6 linked regions of the Oryzias latipes genome follow. The protein of the gene in region 1 purifies or fractionates together with the protein of each later gene. This does not show direct contact. Links are inferred from orthologs where the notes say so. Each region holds a gene or a part of one and is shown in the gene's direction. Other genes may lie near its edges.

Region 1 (3,500 bases):
GCTGTTATAAGCAAATCTGATTTAATTACAGAGTAAATACAGTCTTAATGAAACGTTATAAATTATGATGCTTATTAACCTACAAACCTAACAGAAGAGCCAGACCGTAAACACACACGCAAATTATGAAGAGTATTTATTACTCCAAACCTTCTCTGTCCCTGTCTAACAAAATTAGTTCTTTAACCTAAATGTAATCGGTTTTAGTTTTTACATGAATTTTGTTGATTCGTTTTTTTGATCAAACTGATTTATATTCCAGTTGGATTAATATGAGACTGCGTGGCATGGCTGATTCTTTTTTGTTTGAATTTCTTTTTATTGTTTCAGTCAAGATTTCTAAAGGCAAAAACTGCTTTCATGAAAAGATAAGTGGGATCTAAGAGGAAAAGGAATAAACCTGAGAATCCAGACTTTTATTGAACTTGTTTGCAGCCTGTACATGTTGCTTTGCCATGACCTGTGTTAGGAACCGGTGCTGTGTGCTGAAATAAAGTAAAATAAAATACGCCAAAATAAACTGAGATTTAAACGGAGACGTTTGATATAGGAAGGTGACACCATAAATGTGGATGTGACATGTCCTGGGGCGACGCTGGCCCTCGCCATGATCTACCTCAAGACCAATAACAGGTGAGAAGAGACAATCAAATCTCATACAACATTTATCGCCTTTAAAAAAATATTTTGGTAAAGTTAATAGACCTGTGTGACCTGGTAATTGTACTGTTAATGATCTTTTTGCACACATTCCTTTGCAAATCCAAAACCAAAACATCCAGAGCATTCATCCCTGGTTACCAGTGCATCAACTCGTTAAACCATCACATCTGTTTATTGCTTATGCAAACTTCCTCCCCTCCCTTGATGTGGAAACCAGCATCTTATTTCACAAACAAGAACTTCCTGAACATCTCCAGGGTGGCCCTGCTGTTTTACGGCAGATCTTAGAGTACAAGTGTAAGATTTCATCAAGCATTAGTTAAAGAAGAACAAAATATAATGTTTCCATCCTTTATTAAATTAATTTTAAATTATAAAATAGTTTATAAACTTATAAATGTGCTTTTATAAGCATAATAACTGAGGCACAACTCTAAAAGTGGTGGTACTAACTTAAGTCTTTGCCAAAAATAGACAAATGTTCTTTCATATTTTGTGCAATACATACGTTTTTGTTATCAAATAGGCGTAGGACTCCTATGGTAATGTATGTAGTAGAAAATGCAAACCATACACGTTTGCAGTCCATACATTTATCAATTGACACCATACCTACAAATCATTAAATCTATAGTTATAAGATTTCTTGTACTAACATTTATTTTCTGAAACAAATTATTTGCATTTACAAATGAAGTTATATTATAATTATTTACAGTGTATTAAATCAATCCAATCCATAGCTTTTTCTAAGTATCATGAATCTGAGCTTTGTTCTGTTTATCTCCATGTCTGTGGACATCAGAGCATCGTAACCTCCACCACAAAAACACTCCACAGACTCCTCCACTTCACGATTGTCTACTAGTCAAGAACTTCCTGATTCCTCCAAGATTCATCTAATGCTTTCTGGTTTTTTGGCATAGAAGGTGTTAAAGGAAGATATTAACACATCCTCTGGTTCTGGTTCTATACCACAGGTCGATTGCTGATTGGCTGAAACCTCCAGACACTTGGTTCCTGCTGGACTTCATTAAGCCAGAGTTTCTGCTGCTGAGGGTTGGTGTGCCATCGGCTGTTTGTTTGTGTGGATATGAGGTTTTCTATGTGACAGTGAGGTGCTGCTCGTTTCTTTTTTCCCTTCTCTGAATCAGGTGTATCTTTTTTTTTATGTCTTTCCTTAGACACTTGCTCGATGTATAATCATGTGGGATGAAATCCTTCCTAATACTGAATGGGTCAAGAGTAACATACCCCAGGTGAGATAATACACACCCAGAAGTAGTGATGTAATCATCCGTTTTCCCTGTTAGGGATGTTGCAATCTGATCATGTGGGACCGACTACAGAGTGCTAGCTCCAAAAAACAGTGATTTGAAAAAAAAAAGAAGAAAAATCTGTAACTTCTCAAACAATAAAAGCTAATAAATGGTGACATTGATATGATGAGTTTTCATGACTAGCTCATATTTATGCTACAACAAGGAATTTAAAGAAATTCATCACTCATTTTTAATAGAAGATACTAAAGCTACAGTCACTAAACGTTTTTACATGACTATAAACTATTTCAACTAGTTAATAGTTAACTGTTTTTCTAGTTGATAGTTGCACTATCTTTGCTTGATTGTTCAAGCTACTACGCACAATTTCTCTGTTTAACTTTTAAATCATAAAAGAAGGTGAATAAAACAGAGAAAAACCTGGGTCTGTTTATTAAATCTATTCATTTCTTTTAAACGTGTTACAAAAGGATCCGATTGGTAATTGGTATCACCAAATTCTTAAAATCAGATGAATTAGAATCAAATCAGGGCCAAAAAACCCTGATCTCTAGTATCAATGTCCACTATGGTTTTATTAAATTTTAACTCTTCCTTTGGGATAAACCCCCTGAAGAACTCCTTAATAGTTTAAGATAAATAAGTTCACAAAAGACAATTTTTAATCTCCCATAGTCTATAGAAGTGAAGGTAGGCAGTGAATCGAATCTTATACTTATTTTTTTGGGTAATGGATCTCACCCTCAGGAAGGAAGATCACTAACTTGACACGAATTTTCCTTATTGGAAAAAGTACAGAGGTTTTTCAGTTGGATGTAAAACCTGTTGGTTATAAAACTCTAAAAGTATTTGTTTCAATATTAGATGAATAAATGTTCACTCCATCAACTGTACTGTTGCATATGTTTTTATTTATATTCTGACTGATCAAAAACATCATTCAGCAGTGGAACAACTGCTGAAACTTGTCACCTGTTTTTCTCTTTTGGTTGTAGATAATCAGGGAAAATGTTGACCCTTCAGAGGACATTAATATGGATGCAATGACGTGAGTGTTTTTCTAACATTTTTTATTCGGTAATTTGCCTTCTACTTCACTAAACGTAACATTTTGTTTACATCAGCCAAGCTCAAGACTACATCACTGCTGGAGCCTGCATGGCGTTAGGTTTACGCTTTGCTGGTTCTGCGAATTCTGATGCATTTGATTGCCTTCATGAGTTTGCCAAGACCTTCATGAAGATCATGGCCTTTGCTGGGACAGCTCCTGTTGGCGCTGTGAGTGATTTCCTCTGGATCTTCCTAGTTTGACCTCTCAAATTTCATGACAGATGCTATATAAAAAATGTATCTTGTCGTTGTTTTCCCTGTCTGTCCAAACATTGTTCCGACTCTTCCAGCAGACCAGCTATTACAACCTGCAAACGGGCCTATCAATGATTCTTCTGGCCATGTCCATGATAATGGCTGGAACTGGAGACCTGAAGGTCCTGCAGCTGTGTCGCTTCCTCCACAAGCGCACCGGTGGTGAGATGAACTATGGCTTCCACATGG
Region 2 (4,274 bases), on another chromosome or scaffold:
GTTCTGATCCAGATTCCAGCTCAGAGCAGGAAAACACAGACGTTCATGGATCTGTTGGTCTGCATCAGAATGGAGCAGAGCTGGGAGCTGGTCACTTGCTGTCTGTAGTCTCTATAATAACTACAAAATTTTAAAATGGCAGTTTTTGTCTGCTCCTAATTCACCATATGTTGAATAAAGAAATACTCAAAAATGCAGTTTTAATGTTATTTTTCTATGTCCTCTATCATGAGAAACATGAGATTTTTTTCAGGAGAAATGTGCTACAAAACATGCTATAATTCCATAAAATAAAATTAATATAAAATACATATTTTGTTTAAGTGGGGCTTTAACTGCTTTTTTCATCTAAATCTTATTTTACTTACTTATTTACCGCAATGATTTGATTATTATGTCAGCGGTCACTAGAGGAAACAACACCGTCAATACAGAGTCGACACAGTCTGGGTAATATGTCAATACACTCATCCTCATCCATCACTACTAAGTATACTTGTAGTAAACTGAAATAGGCTAATATTTGCTAAGGAATTCCATGACATAACCCTGACCATCGGGCTCCATCGATTAAACTGTTGCTAGTTTTCAAGGAGCGGTTTTGTCTTCTAAGAACTTTGTCTCCTCTCGGCTGCCGTTGCTGCGTAGTGATTGGTCGAGAGAAAAGTATGGCGGCGTCTCAGTAGCTGCATAAACGACTTCAGGAAAATCTACCGCCAGACTCTGGATCAACCGTCAAAAGAGTATCTTTAATGTGGATTATTTCTGTGTTGTCATTCTAAGACGGTAAAGGACTGAAACAAACAGAGTCGTGTTTATCCGCTGAACGGCTAACAGCTGGAAGCGTCACATCTCATCTGAACAAGTGAGTTTCTCAGCGAAGAATCGACTTAAAAGCTTTATTTTTATTATTTGGTTTTAGATTAAAGGGTTATGATTTCCTGTATTGATGTTGGCTGAAAAATCTTTTCTTTCTTTCGTTTGATTTATAGTAGAAACGGTTAAAAAATGGACGTAACATTTTTGAAATAAAAATGAATGATACAAAAAAAAAACACAGTTAGTGGATTGATTATATTGTTTGCATTAATTGTTATTATTTTCCTGACTTGTTTTGTTGGTTTGGGCTATTTGCTTTTTAATATGACAGAGGTATGTAAATCTAAGAGGTGTCGTGTTTCATCTGAAAAGCCACCTGCTGTATGTTCCATCTGATCAAATATACAGGAAATGAAGAACAAGAACAGGCTGAATGAATAATGGAGTCATGTTCTGCAGGTCATGTCAGCTGGACAGATTCAGAATACCAACCATTGAGATTTTTAAAAGGTGGAACTGTCCCAGAAGAGCATCGTCCAGTCATTGTCGGCGCCGCTCCACCTGCGGGCCGCTCCACCTACATCCACTTCACCTGTGGGCCGCTCCACCTGCGGGCCGCTCCACCTGCGGGCCGCTCCACCTGCGGGCCGCTCCACCTGCGTTCCTTTCACCTGTGGGCCGCTCCACCTGTGGGCCGCTCCACCTGCGGGCTGCATCATGCCAGCCTTCCGGCAGGTAGGGGAGAAGCAGCTTCCAAACCCTGTTCTGTGTATGGCCTGGTCTCCAAAGAGGGATCTGATCGCTTTGGCCAACACGGCTGGAGAGGTGAGCTTCAGCTCCTGAAAACCCTCTTACTCTTTATGCTGGTTTTTTATCCAAAGTTGAATGTTTTGATTTTCATAGCTGCTGCTGCATCGCTTAGCAAGTTTCCAGCGGGTTTGGAGTTTACCACCTACTGAACGCACCGGGAAAGAGATCACGGCGCTTGCCTGGAGACCAGATGGCAAAAGTAAGGGTGGACTCGACATATTTCAACTTGAATGTGAGGATTTTATACTCTGCTCATCCATTTGATCTCCAGCACTGGCCTTCAGTCTCGGAGACACAAAGCAGATCGTCCTTTGTGGGGTTGAGAAGGCAGAAATCCTTCACGTGTTCCCAGTGCAGAGCGCCGTCACCTGCATGCACTGGATGGAGGTCGTGGATGAGAGCAGGTGAAGAGAGGCTCAAGGGATATCCATGCTTTAACCAAACAGACAGGAATCATATTAAGTTATCGTTCTCTACCTTCCAGCTCCCTCAGCTCTTTCTACAGCTCAGAGGATGAATCCAAACTTTTTCTCCCAAAAATCCCAACCCTTCCAAAAAGGTAAAGCCATGAAGACGTGCATTGCTTCAAATCTCATCTACTGGCAATCTCCATGCAGTCATTGTTTTTCCTCCACAGCTACAGCACAACTTCAAAGATCTTCAGGTGAGACACCATTCATGATGAATGTTTGGAAGCGTTTGAATTTTTCCTGAGTGTTCTTCCCTCTGTCACAGTGAAGAGAAGTCAGATGAAATACTCAATCTCTTGGGAGATGCCAGGTAAAAAAACAAGGTGACAGTTTTTGAGGATTGAATGAAAATGGTTCCACGACTGTAAGAGTGATTTTTTTTTTTTTTCCTTGCAGACTGAATGTTCTTGTTCTTGGAGGAGATTCTGGCTTTGTGGAGCTTTATGCTTATGGGATGTATAAGATAGCAGCTGTGGATGGGGTAAGAAAGCTTTCTTGACATTGTAACAAACAATTAAAAGTGACCAAAGAGGGGTTTTACTTGTATTACAGATTTAATTGGTAGTAATCCTGAAATGCCTGGAGATTGAACTGTTTTTCTTGGATTTATCCTGCTGTGCAGGTGACTGGAACGTGCCGCAATCTGTGTCTATCCAGTGATCTCAGGTCTCTGTCTGTCATCGCAGAGGTCAGGTCTGCTGACAATAACCCAGAGATCTGCTACATCCAGGTGAGGTGATCCACTCTGGTTCTCTCTGAGTATCTATGCTCTGTTTGTGTTCCTAATGCGTCCTCCTTGCCCGTCAGCTGGACACAGGCCTGCTGTCTGACTGCCTGCCTGAGGTCACCCGGATGGCGCTGAAGTTCACCTTCATCTCCACGCTGCTGCAGTACCTGCATCTCTCTCTGACGTGTATGTGTGAGGCGTGGGAGGACATCCTCATGCAGATGGACCTTCGGCTCACCAAGTTTGTTCAGGTTTGTTTGGTAAAGAAATGCCTTTCTCTGGAGGAAGAATCAAACATTTGAGCGCATATTGGCTTAGTACGGTGGCCCTGATGTGCAAATCACATCAACAAATCTCTCACCAGAAAATCATGGTAAATGAAAAAAGCAGACCAAATAATAATAAGGTGGGTATCAGGGGACGTCTCTGATTGGATGATGATGTTTGTTCACCTTTTTGGCGGGAAGTTCTTTGTCATGGCGATCTCTTCCATCAGAGGAGATTTCTTTAAGCTTCTGGCCACGCCCACTGCACACGTTTGCTGATTGTTTAATCAGCTGTTTGCCACAGTTCAGGTGAAACCTTCTTCTGCGTTTCCTCTTCTTCACAACTCAAATGTCATCATCCAATCAGCAATGCCTCAAAGGACCTGCCTCTTCTGGTTTCTCTAGTTCTTTTTTAATTTTAACATTAACTTATGGAAACTCCTTTTTTCTGAATCTTTTTGTTTACATTTCAGTCTCCTGAATTTTGTTTTGATTTCCAAAAGATGATGTTTTTTAGTTTTGCTTTGTTAACTGTCATTCTGGTCTTAACATGCGTTTGTGTTAATGTGATTGGGACCTCAGGGCCACCATACTCAGGGTCATGTCTTCTGTGTTCCCAGGAAAAGAACACGAGCACTCAGGTTCAGGATGAGTTTCTGGAGCTCCTGCTGTGGGGACAGTCCAGGTGGAAAGCAAACCTCCTTTGTTGTCTTCATGGTTGAACTGTATTGCCTGGACCGTCCTGTGGATGGTAGCAGTGAGTAAGGAATTGTTTTAACTGTTTTTTCATCCTTTCCAGTCCTGAACTTCAGGCTCTCCTCATGAACCAGCTGACTGTAAAGGTGAGGAGAGGTGAGTTCAGACTCCACCTCCTTCTGAGGACTTGAGACTGAAATCTTTCCGTTCCTTCACCCTTTAGGGTCTGAAGAAGCTTGGCCAGTCTATCGAGTCTTCTTACTCCAGCATCCAGAAGCTGGTGATCAGTCACCTGCAGAGGTTCGCTCCCCCTTCTGTCCTCAGGTCAGTGCTCCTCCTCATGCTCCTCATGCTCCTCTCTTCTGCCTCCTGCAGTGGCTCCGAGGCTCTGCTGTACCATCTCAGTGAGGTGAGAGGGATGTCTCTGTGGAGGCAGAAGTTTGAGCCCCTGGGCTTAGATTCTGCTGCTATAGAAGGTACGAGTTC
Region 3 (3,500 bases), on another chromosome or scaffold:
ATCTGTGCAATGAGTTAGAGGGTTTTTAGGGTTTATTTTAGGAAAATATTGACCTAAGTCTTTCGTTAATCTCTTTAAAAAACAAAAATAAAACATAGCTTTTTTTTCCTTAAACTATGTTGCTGTAAAGAAAAAGAGGTCAAGGTGTGTTGTGATGTTGCATTGTTGAAATTTGAAATATTTATTCTTCTTCATTAAAGTCCAACTCCAATCATCTTTTGATCTATTGTAACGCGTTCCCAGTGTTCTTCTAGTTATCATTATGCCGTTTTTTAACCTAAAAAACAAATCAAAACCTTTGTTGTTGTTTTTTTAGGACATAGTTTATGCAGAGAAGCAGTAGTTTATTAGAAATTTACCTGTGAGTTGTGGTTGAGACCTTTGGCAGAACAACCCCGCCCCCTTCCCCTCGTTGTTTCTCATATGGAAATGCACATAAAGTTACTCCACTTTTCCAGTTATTTTGTGCATCAGATAGAATGGAGATTTTTATACATTCAGATAGAGAGTTTGTCCACTTTGTCAGAAAGTTTTGAGCTGCTGTGGACGTTTTCATGCCACCAAATGCCTTTTAGCGTTTGAAACGAAAAAGGCTCTGAGTTTAATTCAGGTTTGCTTTTCTGAACCAGTTGAAAAACGGAAACTCAGTCATCACATGAGGACTTCTTTAGGGACTTTCAGGGGAAATGGCTGTGGAAACACTGAGTTTTTGTCATTTTTCTGAAAGCAGAAAAACTGAAAATGTGGAAAAATTGAAAGCACAAAAGACAATATCGCTGCAACTAATCTGAGTCACAGCAGCTGCGCTTTTATTTTTCCAACTGTCAGCATTAATCTAAATGAAGGCCTCACCTCGCTCCTCACGTGACGCCTCATTTAGGAACATGTATGCCACACGTCATCCTGTCTGCAATGCAGGAATAACGCCGCAGTGGCAGAATGTGGAGCATGTCCCCTCCCAGATAAGACAAGGGTTATATGTCCGGGAGCATCTCAGTCAGAGGGGCTTCATCGCTTGATGTGACCCCTTCCTCTTGGAGGCGTGTTCATGGATGACTGCGATGAAGTACTATGCAGTGAGAGCGGGTGGCTCAGTGGTGCAACTGCAGCTATGCATGGGGGGGGGGTTATGACCACTGGTATTCCTGAATTATGCAGAAGGTATGCCCCAGAGCTTATGCACTGCTGGTATGGAATTTGACTCCCAGGCCTGCAGGTAATAATAGTCTCCTAGGTTACAGTTTTGACATTTTGTGACCACTGGGAACATATTTGGAGTTCCAGGTCCTTCACCTTATGTTACAGAAGAAGGTTGGATCCCTTTTTATGTTCTTCCCCATTCTCACATTCAAGATGGAGACTTTGATGGAGAGTGCATAGCTGAAATCTTCATATTCTAACTCTGTGTTTTCCCTTACAGGCGCAGATGGGCACCGTCATGGTTTGGCTCCATAGTGCCCTCATGAGCAGCTCCACTTCCTGGAATAAGTTGGAACCCGAGCCTTGAAGTCACACCATGGAATGCTTGTAGTATTGTGCGTCCCTTTCGTCCACCCCACCAGCAACAGCAGGAATCAGAGACACCCAGTGTGACACAAACGACTGAGGGCCACAGGAACTGCTCCCAGAGGCTCTTTATCTATTTAGGTCAGATAGCTTGAGACGTTTTCGGGAGGGTGCAGGGGAGCTTGCTCTAGTTTCTGACTGACTGTGTGGGCTTTCCTTCTGAGAGTTAGTGCCCTGGCACAGGCTCTCAGACCATGAGACCCAAGACTTTCCCAGCAGCCCCGTATGTGGGCAACACGCGACAGAGGCTCCAGGAGATTAAGGAAGGCCTGAAGCAGCCGGCCAAGCTGGTGAGCCAAGCTCTGCATGGAGGAAGCTCCCGCTCTGAGAGAGGCTCCGACTCGAAAAGCGGGAAGGACACAACCAGTCGACAGCAGCAGCTCCGGCCGCCTCAGAAGTTCAACAACTACCAGAATGCACTCAGAGAAATCCGCAAGTCCCTCATGCCCTTCGCCAACGAGTCTGGAGAGGCCGGAGAGGTGAACCGACAGATGCTGCACGAGCTGGTCAACGCAGGATGTGATGAGGTGAAGATGAGTAGATTTGATCCTTGACCATTTAAGGGCTGATGTATGGACTCATTCAAGTAGTTTCAGCTTCTTCTTTAAGGTTATGCCTTAGTCACAACTGCCCTTACAGGTAGATAAGGGCTGTCTGCAGGGGAAAAATGGACACACCTGTATGGGGTTAACCCAAACAGCGAATGTTTGTGCACAGTTTTTCCTGCTGGTATGCTGCAGGCAACATGTCCTTTCAAACAACTGAACAACACTTAAGGGTTAGGTAGGTGAGACACAGCTGTGTGGTTTATACCACACACCTTTTGCTCATTTTTACAGGTTAATGCTGGTTTTAAGTCCCAGTCTGATCATCTTAAGCTCTATTTTCAGAGCGTTCCCAGTGGTCTTTTAATTATGATTATGCTGTTTTTAGCCGAAATCATAAACCTGTCGTTTACTAGGACATAGTTTCTGCAGAGCGGCAGGAATTTATTAGAATTTCACTTCGGAGTTGTGGGCGGGAACTGATGGCTGATGGCATGGAAGTAACTCTCTCCAATTATCCATTTGATCACACTCTCTCCTGCTAGCTTACAGCCCTCACAAGCCCAAACTAACACTAGCGGTGGAACAAAAATGGTGAACAATGTTAGAGCCAGTCGTACAGTTTTGATCCAGATTCCAGCTCAGCCGAGCAAAACAAAGACGTACATGGATCTATTTGTCTGTAAATGGATCCATCAGAAACAGTTTTTTTCAAATGGCAGGATTTGAATAAAGAAATAGTCAGAAATGTAGTCTTAATCTTAATTTTTTGCTATATACGTCTTTTATCATCAAAAAAGGCTACAAGAACATGTTATTAAAAACACCCAAAACAATTTTTTGTGTTTTTTTGAGCTCTTCAATGCAATTCAGTACAAGTGTGTGTGTCGCTCCCCCCCCAGTGAATGGTGAGCTGGTTGCATAACTGAGTGGTGTTGAAATCTTGAAATATCAGGTGGATTTCTCAACTGGCTTGCTTGGCATTTTTTCCTGTTATCCCCCTTGCAGAGTGGTGAATGTTTCCATGGGTCGCTTTCACGTAAAACTAAACGTTATTTGGATGTTGCTTCACCTTCAGCTTGGAGAATTAAATCAATTCCATGTGCAAACGTTTAGATTTGATTCCCTCCGATGCGTCTTTAGTTGGAAAAATCTACTTGCTCTGATTTTTGGGTCACATTTTTAAAAGTTCCTGCTGAATAGCCTTCTGTGTGTTTTCTTCCCATTATCTTCTTATTGGAAGCTGTTGAAATGTGCTTTGAAGAGAAGGCAGTGGGGCTCGCTTGAGGGGGCGATTAAAGCAACTGATTCAATCATGGACTGTGTTCACAAAATGCAGTTTGTCCAGTCAGGACCTGGTGTGTGTGGTTGAAAACCCCGTGACGAAGC
Region 4 (4,070 bases), on another chromosome or scaffold:
TCACAGTGAGAAAAATGGTAAAAAACAATTTGATATACAACGATTATGTTGTTTGTGTGACATCACATTAATGCTGATATTTTAAAACAAGTGAGACTTAGATTTTTATGCTCCGGGGGTTAACTACAGCCTCCTCTTTCAGGTTAAGTTAAAATAGAAGTATAGATTTTTTTCAACATTTACATTTAAAATATGAAATCCTAATGTCATATTGGAAATAGCTCAGTACAACGTTTAAGGAAGTAAATGCTGTTTGTCGGCAGATAATTTTTGTTTTTTCTTTAAACGAACAAAACAGTTTTGATGTTGGTGCAACAGCAAGGATATGTTAATTAAAGCAAACACAGTTAATAATAAGACAGATTATGTTTAACCACTAATCCGTCTGTCTATAGGGAAAACTTAGATAAGATGTTTGCAAACTTAATTAGAATTTTTTTTTAAACAGGGTAATTGGTTCCTGCTAAACCAAATTACCGGTAAAAAAATTACAGTTTATTTAGAAATTAATTGTTTATTTTAACATTTAAACTTATATTTTATTCAGTAAAGAAAATGCAGAGACATTTTCAAAAACGTGAAAATAAATAGTTTCCGTGAAAATACATAGTGGATGTAACTTGTCTTGCAGTTCACCAGTTTGTCCACAAGAGGGCGATAAGGATTTTGACTGTGATCACATTTTGTGTGTTTTTCCATTATAAATCATTGTTCTGTTGTATCTGTTTGCCCACTGAGGCAGATATCATGTCATAACCCATCCTCACACGTAAAAACATTTTTGATCGGGTAAAATTTGATTTTTTTAAGTTTTTCAACAAGATAATCATTTTTTCTGAGTTATTAATTTAATTGTATTTATTTCGTAAATACTTTAGTAAATGTTACAATTTTGATAAGATAAGATAAATATGCTTTTTTATTACAACCTGAGACATTTAATTTTGAATAAATTAATTTGATCGATGTTGATTATTTTACATAAAGATTAACTTAATTTGGTAAATAATTTTTCTCCAGCTCTTAGTTGCTGTTACAAACATTACGTGTTGCAGTTTTCCACTCTGTCCACACGAGGGCAGTAGTTGTTCACAAAAATGCAAAATGCAAAACAGACTTCTTTTAAATACTTTTGACTACTTTTTTTTACAACTTTTAAATTTTTTGCACGTACATCATGCAAACAACTAAAACAACGAAGAAAAAACAGAACGATGCGCATTAACAACTGTAGGTGGCAGCACTGCCATCTTTCAGCGCTAAATACAGTAGAAGAAGTCAAAGAAGATCTGAACCCGCCATTCAGTAGGAGGGGTCACGTGGTTTTGTTTTGTTAATAAATAGTATCTTTTTCTTTGTATATTACTGTGTTTTTGGAGAAATAATGTGTATTTGTACCTTCAACTAAACCTCTTAAAACCGGCACGCGCCTGTTTGGACTTCCGCCCGGTTTGTTAATTGAGGAGAAAAACCCATAAAATGGAGGAAATGATGGAAGACTCGGAGTCTGTGGAAATGTCTGGACCCGAACCGGTCCAGGGTGTCGCGGCTGCATGGGATTCGGTCTCTGCGGCTCTGGTGAGTGGACCCGAACCCCGAACCTCAGTGTCGGAGTCCAACCATGAGTGAGACGTCAGTTTATCGAGGTTATTCACGTCTCCAAATCTGGTGGTAGTTCACTTTGATGAATCTCACACATTTAAAACAATCTGTGGATCATTATCAGACTCATTAGACTGCATCTATATGCGTGATATTTTCATTTGTATATCAGTCACAGATGAAGCTTTGAAGGCGTTTTTAAATCTGCTCCTCCTTTCAAACACACCTGAGTTTAGAAAAAACTGGTTCAAAGTTCTTCATTGCTGTGTTTGAACTAAAAGTAAAAGCCAATCCGAGCCCAGGATCTGCTCTGGCATCAGCACGTACAGCAGCTTCTGGACGGATGCTGAGGCTCTGCGTTGGGTTCTCTTGCAGGTGTCTCCTGGCTTCTCGGTGTCGGATCAGAACCTCGTGGACGGCCTGGCTCTGCTCTGCCGTCGGGGTCTGGCTCCTCTTCTCGGGGTGTGGCTGCTGGAGACCTTGCAGATGCGTTTGTCGTCCTCCGTGGTTCCAGAGTTCTGGTGTGGACTGAAGCAGCCGGAGAACGAGCTGGAGGAGAGGGGCCGGGCCTGGGTTCTCCTCACCGCCTTCAGGACTCTGCTGGACCGCCTGGAACCCTTCCTGAGTAAGACCCAGACACCGGGGGGTCCACTGCTGTCGGACATTTCTGACACGTCTGCTCCTTAGGTGGTTTGGAGAAGCTGGGGGCGTGGCAGCAGGAGGGCCGCTGTGGTCTGAGCGGGCCGGGACCCAAAGGGCTCAAGGAGCAGGCCTTCACGACCATCAGAGCGCTCCTGCTCTTCTCGCCATCTCCTGTCCTGCAGGAGCGTGTGCTGGAGTTCTACAGCCGGACCTTCTCTGTTTACATGAAGCAGGAGGGGAACGCCGAGGATGGGGCAGAGGCTCCGGATGGTTCTGAGGGAGGGGCCTGTCCGGGCTGTGGGGTCCCGCTTCACCAGTGCTGGTGTCTGGAGGCCCTGGAGCAGCTGCAGCAGCTCAGCCACATCCTGTGAGAACCAGAGCGAAGCTCCTTGCAGCTCCTGTGGTCTGTCAGAGTCTGACCTGCTGTTTGTGGCTGCAGGTCCAAACTGCAGCTGCTGGACTGGGTCAGCTCAGAGGCCGTCACCTCCATCCTCCACAAGCTCATCGAGCAGCGGATGGAGCAGCACTGCCGCGGCGAGTACGAGCGCTCCTTCCTGCTGAACTTCCAGGAGGTGAGGCATCCGTTGTAGCAGCTCCCTGGTCGGCTCCGTCTGAACCTTTCCGCCTTGCAGTGGTTGGAGCTGGTGCTCGGCTGGCTGGGGAAAGTCTTTGCCTGTGAGGGGTCGGGAGACGGTCCGGCACCAGCATCTTTGGCCAGTCCGGTCATGAAGCAGTGGAGGTGCCACATGCACCAGTTCTTCTGCAGGATCTACGTCAACATGAGGATCGAGGAGCTCTTCAGCATCATCAGAGGTGACTCTCACCAACCCGACGGAGTTTTTTTTTTGTTTGTTTTTGTCTAACATCTTTGCTCCATATCTCGTGCAGATTTCCCAGAATCCAAAGCTGCGATTGAGGATCTCAAGTTTTGCCTGGAGAGAACTAACCAGCGACAGCAGCTCCTCACTTCCCTGAAATCTGCCTTCGAAAGCCGTTTGCTGCACCCGGGTAAGTAACCGAGTGGTTTGGTAACCGAGTGGTTTGGTAACCGAGTGGTTTGGTAACCGAGCAGCAGGTCTGTATGTAGCTAAGCAGGGAGTAGATGTCAGCGGCGGGCCGGTACCACAGAAGCCGGTCGTTATCAGCAGGTCGTCGGTACCCAAGATGCCGGTTTCTACCTGAGCGGCGGCTTAGCAGCAGTGAGGGGAAATAAAACCTGTAGCTCAGTGGGTGTAAAGTTCTGTCACGACTCTCCAGAACCTGTGGAGGACCGACTGTCCTGTTGGATCCTCCAAAGGTTTCCTGATTCTGTTGAATGCTTTTCTCTTAAAAATAATCCTCATCCTCAACTTGTGTGCAGGAGTTCACACCTCTGACATCCTCACCGTTTACATCTCAGCCATCAAAGCCCTCAGAGAGCTGGACCCGTCCATGGTCATCCTGCAGGTTGCCTGTCAGCCAATCAGAAAGTACCTCAGGTGAGTTTGCGTGTCTGCGGTCTGACAGGCGGTTTCAGGAAACCCGCTTCAGTTAGAAATGTGTTCATTGAACCGTCTAAACCGCAGCGCTGCCTCTTGCTGTTCAGGACTCGGGAGGACACGGTGCGGCAGATCGTGGCGGGTCTGACCGGAGATGCGGAGGGCTGCACCGACCTGGCCTCCGAGCTGTCCCGCGGAGACCCGGTGACGCTGGAGATGCAGGACAGCGACGACGAAGGCACCGACCCGGAGGACTGGACCCCGGACCCGACGGACGCCGTGCCCGGTCGGTGATGGCGTGGTGCGACGGTAGTCGCTCCGCTGCGGCCCTTCGGCTCACCTCTGACC
Region 5 (4,119 bases), on another chromosome or scaffold:
ACTCTTAAAATTAGTCAATATAAAAGCAGCGCATTTATTTTCCTGTGTGGGCTTCGTTCGATACTTAAAAAATGCCAACGGGTACCGCTATCATCCTACCAGAGAAAGTGATTAGATATTATCTTACATAACTAAATAATGAGTTTCACATTTTCAATTACGTTTACTAAGAAAATATATGTTTGTGTGTTGCCCAACGTATTACGGTATTCATGTGTATCATTGGTAAAGCTAAACTCAAAAGGGCTGTGAGCCCCTGAATTCATTATTCCTTTGTTCTGCCCGCTAAATAACGCCGAAGTTGCTAGCTTGCTAGGACGGTCGGCGTTGCTGGTCTGCGTGGGTTTTAGTTTATCTTTTATTCCAACGTGACGTTGAAATCATAATTTTGCCACACAAATGGGCATCTAACTCAAGTAGATTGCTCACGTCCTGATAATTTCGGTCATTAAAGCGCCTGTTAACCAGAATCTTACAGCGTAAACATAGCTTCACAAAAGCTAGCATTAGCCTATTGCTGCTACATAACTAGCTGTTTTCTCCCTGTAATTTTAATATCAAAGAATGCGATCACATTACCTGCCAATTGTTTTCGAAGAAGTAATGCTGATTGTTCGGTCATGGTACGCGTACGTAACTAAGAAAAAAACTGTCTGTATAGACAAATATCTTCTGGCACACAGAGAGGAGGTCCTGCGATGCTGCTGCTGCTGCCGCCGCTTGGCTCCGTGTTTTGACACAAGATTCAGGTGCTAGCTTAAGTGCGCATGCGTGCTTCAAGCTGACCACGCGTTCGTGTTGTTAAAATATCTTTCTGCCAATGAATTAGACTTACAAAAGGACTGCATTAAAAATACACAGAATACCTCGTTGTTTGAAATGTTTTCAATTTAGAAATTTTATGTTGGGGCTTTTTGGATATTTGAATTCCGTATGTTTGTTGACATCTACATGTTTGAAGAACTCGTTCGGCACACGAACATAATAATACATGGTTGAAAAAAATAAACAATTATAAAGTAAGCCTTTAATTTTCAATTATTCACGCGAAAGTCGATTTTTGAGCTAAATACAAACATACAGTGAAAAGCAGAAGATGCGTTCATAACCATCGGAAATATCAAATTCACATTGAAGACTGTTACAAAGAACAAAAACAAAGTAACAAATGTTTAAATTTACGTTCATCATGATGAATGTGTAAACTAAAACGATTTAAATAAAAATACTAAGATTGTATGAGGGTGAATTGATTGCGCTCTTAACCTGTCATTCGTGAATCGTCTGCTAAAACTAATTTGTACAGACCTACAAATGCAGCAGTGCACGGAAGGAAGGCTGCTGAGCGCCATATTTAATACATCAGAGGCTAGATATTTTTTAGCTAAAAGTTCTAACTTCACACCGAAACCTGTAGAAGAGCCTGCATTTTTTCGGTAAAATGAATGTTATTGATCACGTTCGGGACATGGCTTCGGCCGGCCTTCACTCCAATGTTCGCATTGTGAGCAGTTTGCTGCTGACGATGAGCAATAACAATCCGTAAGTATGGCTTGACTGGGACCCGTCTATTTCCCGAATGAGTCTCTACGCAAGTGTTTTGTGGTTTTCCTCCGTTGTCGCGACAGTTTTATATATATGAAAAAAACATATTGTCGTAGTCTTTACGCTATTGTTTGAATGCGCAGCCTACACAGCTTCTTTCTACATGCTTAGCTTGTGTTATGAGATGCATACAGTTAGCCTTCACTCCATTACATAGCCATGTGGAGACTTTGGCAATAACAGTTTGGTGAAGTGTCATTGAGGGATGTTTGAACTCAAATCCCCCCACTTTGTTCACATGTATTGATGTTTTCTTTATTTACATTAATCAAATGTTTTCATTTTCCGGAGTTGATTAGATGTTACTATTTGTTCTTTCGCCACATTTATATTCAAGAAGATGTACCAGGGGGGTATTCCAGAAAGCAGGTTATGCTAGTTACCACGGCAAGTTTAAGGCTAATGAAGCGGATTATCTCAGTTTTCGGTACCAACAGTGGAGGTCTGTTTCACAGTATGTCAAGTTGCCATAGCAACTCATGCTCTGAACATAACCCGGTCTGGAACAGGTTTAGTTGAAGGTTAGTTTGTTTTCAGAGAGGTGAAGGCAGCATGGTGTGTCCATTTGAAGATGATTTAGTGGATGAAAAAGCTCAGATAATACTTTTTCCACCATAGAGGGTGATAAGACCACATATGGATGTTGGAAAGATAACATTTGTTACATTGATCTAACTTAATTATTTGCTTTAGTTGAGATAAATCTTTTTTGTTTTTTGTTAAGTCAGTTACGTGTCATGTTGCAAATCTGTTTTGATTCATGCATTTTATTGTTGTAAAAATGAGCATATCTGCAGGCTCAAACTTAAACACATGAGAGTTCAAGAAGTACAATAAATTAAGATGAAAAAACATTTAATTGAATTGGAGTGATATGACATTTAGTTAGATAAATATGTAAATTTGAGTTAAAAAAAATATTGAGTTGGATAGACGTAAAAAATATATTTAACTCAATTTCTTGTTACCAATTGAATTAATTCATTTAAGTTGGATAAGTTTTATAAATATATATATATATATATATATATATATATATATATATATATATATATATATATATATATATATATATATATACACATCACAATGGAAATGAGATAGAAACTCTTGTGTTTACTTTGTCCGTTCTTTTTCTCCAAGCAGAAACTCTCTTTTGCTGATGCAGCCGTGTTACTTTTTTAATCTTCATACGCCGTCATTCAAATCTCCGACTCCGTCTCACTGACGTATAGCGCTCTCTTTTTTTCACCACGCGTTTCCATGGTGACTCCGTAGATCGGCAATCCATTGAAAATGTCTTTATGTACTTGCTGTGCACGTGCATTAACCCAGGGTTACCAAGTGGAGCGTAATTACGCTAACTCATATCCGGTTTTTTGGAACCGACATACCCAGAGTAAGCAAGTTCAGGCGGATTTCAGCCAGAGTTCAGGCTTAAAGTCAGGGTAGTTTAAACATGCTTCTGGAATACCCCCCAGAACTCCCCGTAATCAAAATGTAATTTTTTATACAGCTGCTGTTTTCGTAACGTTGCACACTTTAAATGCGAAGCTAGTGCCATAAAATAGAGGTATTGTGCTTTGTAGTTATTTTTAAATGAAACTTGTTCGTTTTTGTCTCCAGTGAACTATTCTCACCGGCTCAGAAGTACCAACTGCTGGTTTACCACGCCGATGCGATTTTTCACGATAAGGAATATCGCAATGCGGCCTGCAAGTACAGCATGGCGCTGCAGCAGAAGAAGGTGCTCAGCAAAACATCCAAGGTTCGCACATCAGCTGGTGGAGCAGCCTCCAACATGCAGACACAGGTGAGGGCTTTATGCTTCAACACATTTAGGAAAAAAAAATATGGATGGATGGATGGATAGATGGATAGATGGATAGATGGATAGATAGATAGATAGATAGATAGATAGATAGATAGATAGATCTCAGAAGTTAATGGTTGCATCCCTACAATATATGCAAGAAAATAATAACACTGAAGACCATGAAAGTGTCTGCTGGCCTGCTGCTTTTGATCTATGACCAATACTGATCCTAGAGTGGGGAAACTACCTTTTAATCACTTGCATAGACACATTTTTGGCAGCAGACGTCTTTATCTCAAGTGACTCTTGAAGGGCACCTCTTGGTTTGTTTTTCCTCATCTTCAGGTAATATTCAAAACAGTTTTTACATTTTTTTGTGGCATTTTCTTCTTGATGGAGGACATATGTAAAGAAAAATTAACCTTAAAAAAGCATTTCTGAGTACTTCTTTATTCAAATCTTGGTGAATCAGGAGCAGATTTAAAGAATGCCGTTTGAAAAAGATTGTATTTGTTACGGCCACAAGCTCCGTGCTCCGCTCCAATCTGATACATCCACTTGCAGACAAATAGATCCGTGTACTTCTTTGTTTTCCCCCTCCAAGCTGGCATCTGAATCAAAACTATTAAGATGGTTGGATAGTTCCAATATTGCTAGCTATTTTTGTTGCACTAATATGTTTAGGTTGGGGCTGAAAG
Region 6 (3,969 bases), on another chromosome or scaffold:
TTGACTGTTCTTGTTTAACTGAATAAATAAAAAGAGGCGATGCAGAAGCATGGCAAAGTACCCATTTCGGACAGAACATCCCAGTAAAGAAGTAACAGTTAAAACTGATGAGAAGAACACAGCTACTCCTCATTGATACCAGTGTTTGGTTCCAGGTTCAGAAGCTGCTGTCAATTTGCTATGTTCTGGTGGAATCCTGGGAGTTACCCAGTCGCTCTTTGTCTGGGAGTTCTGCTCCAAGGAACCAAATCTCACCCAAACTGGCTGAACTCAAGACAGGAATTCTTCTTCTGATCAGGGTGAGTACATGCACAAACCTGCCACACATGACTTTTGGCTTTGACGTCAATTGTGCTACTACTTGAACTGTAGGCCAATCAGAATGTGGCTGAGATATATGAAGACACCCTGTCTCTTCCACTGGGGGAGTACATAGACTATTATCATGGACTTGGAGCCGATGGCTCACTGCGGCGGACCTACGAACTGCTAGCTTGTTTCAAGAAGGATATGCATAAGGTGAGAAGGAGGATAGCAAGTGTGATATGATAATGACAATGATGACAAAGAAATGTCTGTTTTTGCAGGTGGAGACCTACCTGACTGTGGCTAAATGTCGACTGTCTCCAGAGACAAACTGTATCCTGTAGTCATGCTGCCCCCCACCATGACAATAGACTCCGCTTTTAAATAATTATGTTAGCATTAGCAGGAATAGGAGGTGTCATAATAAAGTTTGTGTTGCATTCTCAGTGTCTCTTTTTCTGAAAACAACAGGAAGCTTAAAGAAACCATGGAATAAAAATCTGAGTTTCTCGTGTTCTCCATACTCCCACCTGTCTTATTCTACATGACAGGGTGGGCAAAGGGGACCTCATCGTAGGAGCAGCTTCACCAGCTTTCAGCTGCAATGAAGCTGCAGCATTTAAGTTTGGCTTTTATTTTAACATTCATGTGCTTCATAAATGCTCTGATTTGCAGCAAAGAAGCTGTTTAGGAGCGGGACAGAAAACTTTTTACTATCTGTCACAAGTCTTCACTTATCTCTCTGAGACCCGTCAATGTCATTTTTACCCTTTCAACCAACAAAACCCATGGGCTTCAGTTCTTTATGAACGAAAAAGGTTTTGTAAAAAAATGTATATTTGCTAATAGAAAAAAAGAATTAAGAAAAAAATTACAAAAAATGTTCCACCAGGGTGTCCATCTTCTGCCTATAGAACTTTTCAGTGTACAGGAGATTGAGGTTCATTTACAAACAGCTGCTTGCTGAAAGCATGCTTTACAAGATATGAAAGCAATATTTCTCTTTCATTAACATTTTCCGCTTGGACCTACACTAAACAATTTGATCTGAAAGTGAAAAGTTAAGTTTCACAGAAAAAATAATGCAGCTAATCCAAAACTCAAAAAAGGAATATTTGAAACAGTAAATTTTAGTTTTGAATTAAAGAATTAAAAAAAAACAACACCAAATTTATACATTTAAAAAAGTTATGCAAACTTTAAGGTGATTATTAAAAAAGTGTAAAAGAATATTTTTGTAAAAGATAAAAAAATTGAATGTTATTTCGTGACATATTTTAGTATTTAACATTAACGTGTTTTAACTTTTGTTTTGTCGAATGAAAAATCTTTCCTTCAAACAAACAAACACGGTGCAGATTTTGCTCCATAACAGCTGATGACATTTTCCGCTACTGACTTAAAAAAGTGATACCAAGACTTGCCAGCAGTAGGCGTCAAACAGCTATTCTACCTGCTATTGCTGTTGCCGCTAGAGGGCAGTGTGTTCTAGGCCTATGGCTCGGCGTTTTCCGGCAAAACTCGGAAGGTAACGGTCGGACGTTCAAATGTTCGGCCGCATCGGCTCCTCGCAGAGATAGAGCTGAAGAAAGCCGTGAAGAAAGCAGGAGAGAGGTCCCTGGAGCAGAGATACAGAGTCCTAAAGCGGGATGACAGTGCTGCAGGAACCTGTCCAGGTAAGAAAACGCCGTTAGGTCGTTGTCACGAACCGGAATACGAACATTAGCCGTCACCGGCCTCAGCATCTGGCTCGCTCAGGCTCAGCCCGAGCTAAAACAGCATTCTTCCGCCGTCGTAGGCCTCGAAGTTCGCCCGGAGCCTTTTCTCCGCGCCTTCCCGGCATCTGCTCGGGGCTGAGCGGTGTGCTTCTTTTCGGTCTGCGGGCCAAGCTTCGTAGAGGGCCGGTTTATCCGCTCCATGGCGCGTAACTTGGTCAGGACGCCGGTCCCCCGGCTGTCGTTGACACGTAAACGGGCTGGAACGTTTTCTCTCCTGGTAGCTTCCGCAGCAAAGAATCGAGCGGAGAAGACAAAGATTTGTCCCCGCTGTGAGACCGTCACTGGGTCAAGTTTAGTTCAGGTTTGGATAGACTAGAGGTGGTCCTCAGGATTTTGGAACACTTGTCTGGAACGTTAGATCTGCTAGCTAACCGGCTAGCGCCTTAACAACCCGCTTTCGACGGCAGGAATAAGGTTCTGTAGCTTCAGACTGAACCGAACCGTTCTCCAGGTTCGCTGTGGGGTTCCCGCAACAGTTCTGCCTCACGGCACCCGCAACATATCACGCTTAGCGGGGCATGGTTAGCGTCGGCTAACCAGCTAGCTCTAAACTAGCTTTTTAGCTAGCTGTTGGTAAACGGAAATACTGCATGTAACCAGCGCCGACTGACGTCACAGCTCAGGTGTGCCGGTCCCTGATCAGGCAGGAGGGTATGGTAATGTTAGAGCTTTAAAAAAGTATTTGCCTTTAAACGTAGATCAAAGTTCTGATCTAATATTCAATAAATATCTAATATTTAAAAATGATGACGCAACCTGTGCCAAAGCAGAACATCAGCAACTTGTGCCAAAGCAGAACCACAGTAACCTGTGCCAAAGCAGAACGACCGTAACCTGTGCCAAAGCAGAACGACCGTAACCTGTGCCAAAGCAGAACGACCGTAACCTGTGGCAAAGCAGAACGACCGTAACCTGTGCCAAAGCAGAACGACCGTAACCTGTGCCAAAGCAGAACGACAGTAACCTGTGCCAAAGCAGAACGACAGCATCCTGTGCCAAAGCAGAACGACCGTATCCTGTGCCAAAGCAGAACGACCGTATCCTGTGCCAAAGCAGAACGACAGCAACCTGTGCCAAAGCAGAACGACCGTATCCTGTGCCAAAGCAGAACGACAGTAACCTGTGCCAAAGCAGAATGACAGCATCCTGTGCCAAAGCAGAACGACCGTATCCTGTGCCAAAGCAGAACGACAGCAACCTGTGCCAAAGCAGAACGACAGTAACCTGTGCCAAAGCAGAACGACAGTAACCTGTGCCAAAGCAGAACGACAGTAACCTGTGCCAAAGCAGAACGACAGCATCCTGTGCCAAAGCAGAACGACCGTATCCTGTGCCAAAGCAGAACGACCGTATCCTGTGCCAAAGCAGAACGACAGTAACCTGTGCCAAAGCAGAATGACAGCATCCTGTGCCAAAGCAGAACGACCGTATCCTGTGCCAAAGCAGAACGACAGCAACCTGTGCCAAAGCAGAACGACAGTAACCTGTGCCAAAGCAGAACGACAGTAACCTGTGCCAAAGCAGAACGACAGTAACCTGTGCCAAAGCAGAACGACAGCATCCTGTGCCAAAGCAGAACGACCGTATCCTGTGCCAAAGCAGAACGACAGCAACCTGTGCCAAAGCAGAACGACCGTATCCTGTGCCAAAGCAGAACGACAGTAACCTGTGCCAAAGCAGAATGACAGCAACCTGTGCCAAAGCAGAACGACAGTAACCTGTGCCAAAGCAGAACGACAGTAACCTGTGCCAAAGCAGAACGACCGTATCCTGTGCCAAAGCAGAACGACAGTAACCTGTGCCAAAGCAGAATGACAGCAACCTGTGCCAAAGCAGAACGACAGCAACCTGTGCCGACTGTTTTTTTCTTAGCTGCACTCAGATT

What was found.
Region 2: the proteins of anapc1 (region 1) and anapc4 purify together in Homo sapiens (co-purification; 13 studies listed by BioGRID and IntAct, with this or other methods). This does not show direct contact. The link is inferred for Oryzias latipes from reciprocal best matches to the Homo sapiens genes ANAPC1 and ANAPC4.
Region 3: the proteins of anapc1 (region 1) and lats2 purify together in Homo sapiens (affinity purification with mass spectrometry; 3 studies listed by BioGRID and IntAct, with this or other methods). This does not show direct contact. The link is inferred for Oryzias latipes from reciprocal best matches to the Homo sapiens genes ANAPC1 and LATS2.
Region 4: the proteins of anapc1 (region 1) and anapc2 fractionate together in Homo sapiens (co-fractionation; 8 studies listed by BioGRID and IntAct, with this or other methods). This does not show direct contact. The link is inferred for Oryzias latipes from reciprocal best matches to the Homo sapiens genes ANAPC1 and ANAPC2.
Region 5: the proteins of anapc1 (region 1) and anapc7 fractionate together in Homo sapiens (co-fractionation; 6 studies listed by BioGRID and IntAct, with this or other methods). This does not show direct contact. The link is inferred for Oryzias latipes from reciprocal best matches to the Homo sapiens genes ANAPC1 and ANAPC7.
Region 6: the proteins of anapc1 (region 1) and cdc27 purify together in Homo sapiens (affinity purification with mass spectrometry; 16 studies listed by BioGRID and IntAct, with this or other methods). This does not show direct contact. The link is inferred for Oryzias latipes from reciprocal best matches to the Homo sapiens genes ANAPC1 and CDC27.

What each region holds. Positions count from the first base shown.
Region 1 is NC_019873.2:15,519,425-15,522,924, reverse strand, and holds part of anapc1 (anaphase-promoting complex subunit 1), read left to right. Parts: intron 1-550; coding exon 551-633; intron 634-1,643; coding exon 1,644-1,722; intron 1,723-1,847; coding exon 1,848-1,922; intron 1,923-2,941; coding exon 2,942-2,994; intron 2,995-3,070; coding exon 3,071-3,224; intron 3,225-3,346; coding exon 3,347-3,500. UniProt on the Homo sapiens protein: Component of the anaphase promoting complex/cyclosome (APC/C), a cell cycle-regulated E3 ubiquitin ligase that controls progression through mitosis and the G1 phase of the cell cycle.
Region 2 is NC_019862.2:1,185,730-1,190,003, forward strand, and holds the start of anapc4 (anaphase-promoting complex subunit 4), read left to right. Parts: upstream 1-1,474; 5' UTR 1,475-1,536; coding exon 1,537-1,644; intron 1,645-1,722; coding exon 1,723-1,828; intron 1,829-1,900; coding exon 1,901-2,033; intron 2,034-2,113; coding exon 2,114-2,188; intron 2,189-2,266; coding exon 2,267-2,293; intron 2,294-2,364; coding exon 2,365-2,409; intron 2,410-2,495; coding exon 2,496-2,580; intron 2,581-2,721; coding exon 2,722-2,829; intron 2,830-2,906; coding exon 2,907-3,077; intron 3,078-3,712; coding exon 3,713-3,777; intron 3,778-3,891; coding exon 3,892-3,934; intron 3,935-4,011; coding exon 4,012-4,088; intron 4,089-4,163; coding exon 4,164-4,264; intron 4,265-4,274. UniProt on the Homo sapiens protein: Component of the anaphase promoting complex/cyclosome (APC/C), a cell cycle-regulated E3 ubiquitin ligase that controls progression through mitosis and the G1 phase of the cell cycle.
Region 3 is NC_019879.2:11,533,461-11,536,960, reverse strand, and holds part of lats2 (serine/threonine-protein kinase LATS2), read left to right. Parts: intron 1-1,420; 5' UTR 1,421-1,760; coding exon 1,761-2,093; intron 2,094-3,500. UniProt on the Homo sapiens protein: Negative regulator of YAP1 in the Hippo signaling pathway that plays a pivotal role in organ size control and tumor suppression by restricting proliferation and promoting apoptosis.
Region 4 is NC_019866.2:2,382,402-2,386,471, reverse strand, and holds the start of anapc2 (anaphase-promoting complex subunit 2), read left to right. Parts: upstream 1-1,270; 5' UTR 1,271-1,479; coding exon 1,480-1,578; intron 1,579-1,977; coding exon 1,978-2,227; intron 2,228-2,289; coding exon 2,290-2,611; intron 2,612-2,683; coding exon 2,684-2,816; intron 2,817-2,876; coding exon 2,877-3,057; intron 3,058-3,132; coding exon 3,133-3,252; intron 3,253-3,604; coding exon 3,605-3,722; intron 3,723-3,829; coding exon 3,830-4,008; intron 4,009-4,070. UniProt on the Homo sapiens protein: Together with the RING-H2 protein ANAPC11, constitutes the catalytic component of the anaphase promoting complex/cyclosome (APC/C), a cell cycle-regulated E3 ubiquitin ligase that controls progression through mitosis and the G1 phase of the cell cycle.
Region 5 is NC_019867.2:25,467,751-25,471,869, reverse strand, and holds the start of anapc7 (anaphase-promoting complex subunit 7), read left to right. Parts: upstream 1-1,319; 5' UTR 1,320-1,441; coding exon 1,442-1,542; intron 1,543-3,231; coding exon 3,232-3,418; intron 3,419-4,119. Other genes in the region: ubiquitin-conjugating enzyme E2 G1, read right to left, coding at 580-622. UniProt on the Homo sapiens protein: Component of the anaphase promoting complex/cyclosome (APC/C), a cell cycle-regulated E3 ubiquitin ligase that controls progression through mitosis and the G1 phase of the cell cycle.
Region 6 is NC_019866.2:74,817-78,785, forward strand, and holds the start of cdc27 (cell division cycle protein 27 homolog), read left to right. Parts: upstream 1-1,169; 5' UTR 1,170-1,955; coding exon of another isoform or gene 1,956-1,982; intron 1,983-3,969. Other genes in the region: somatotropin, read left to right, coding at 156-299, 373-519, 588-650. UniProt on the Homo sapiens protein: Component of the anaphase promoting complex/cyclosome (APC/C), a cell cycle-regulated E3 ubiquitin ligase that controls progression through mitosis and the G1 phase of the cell cycle.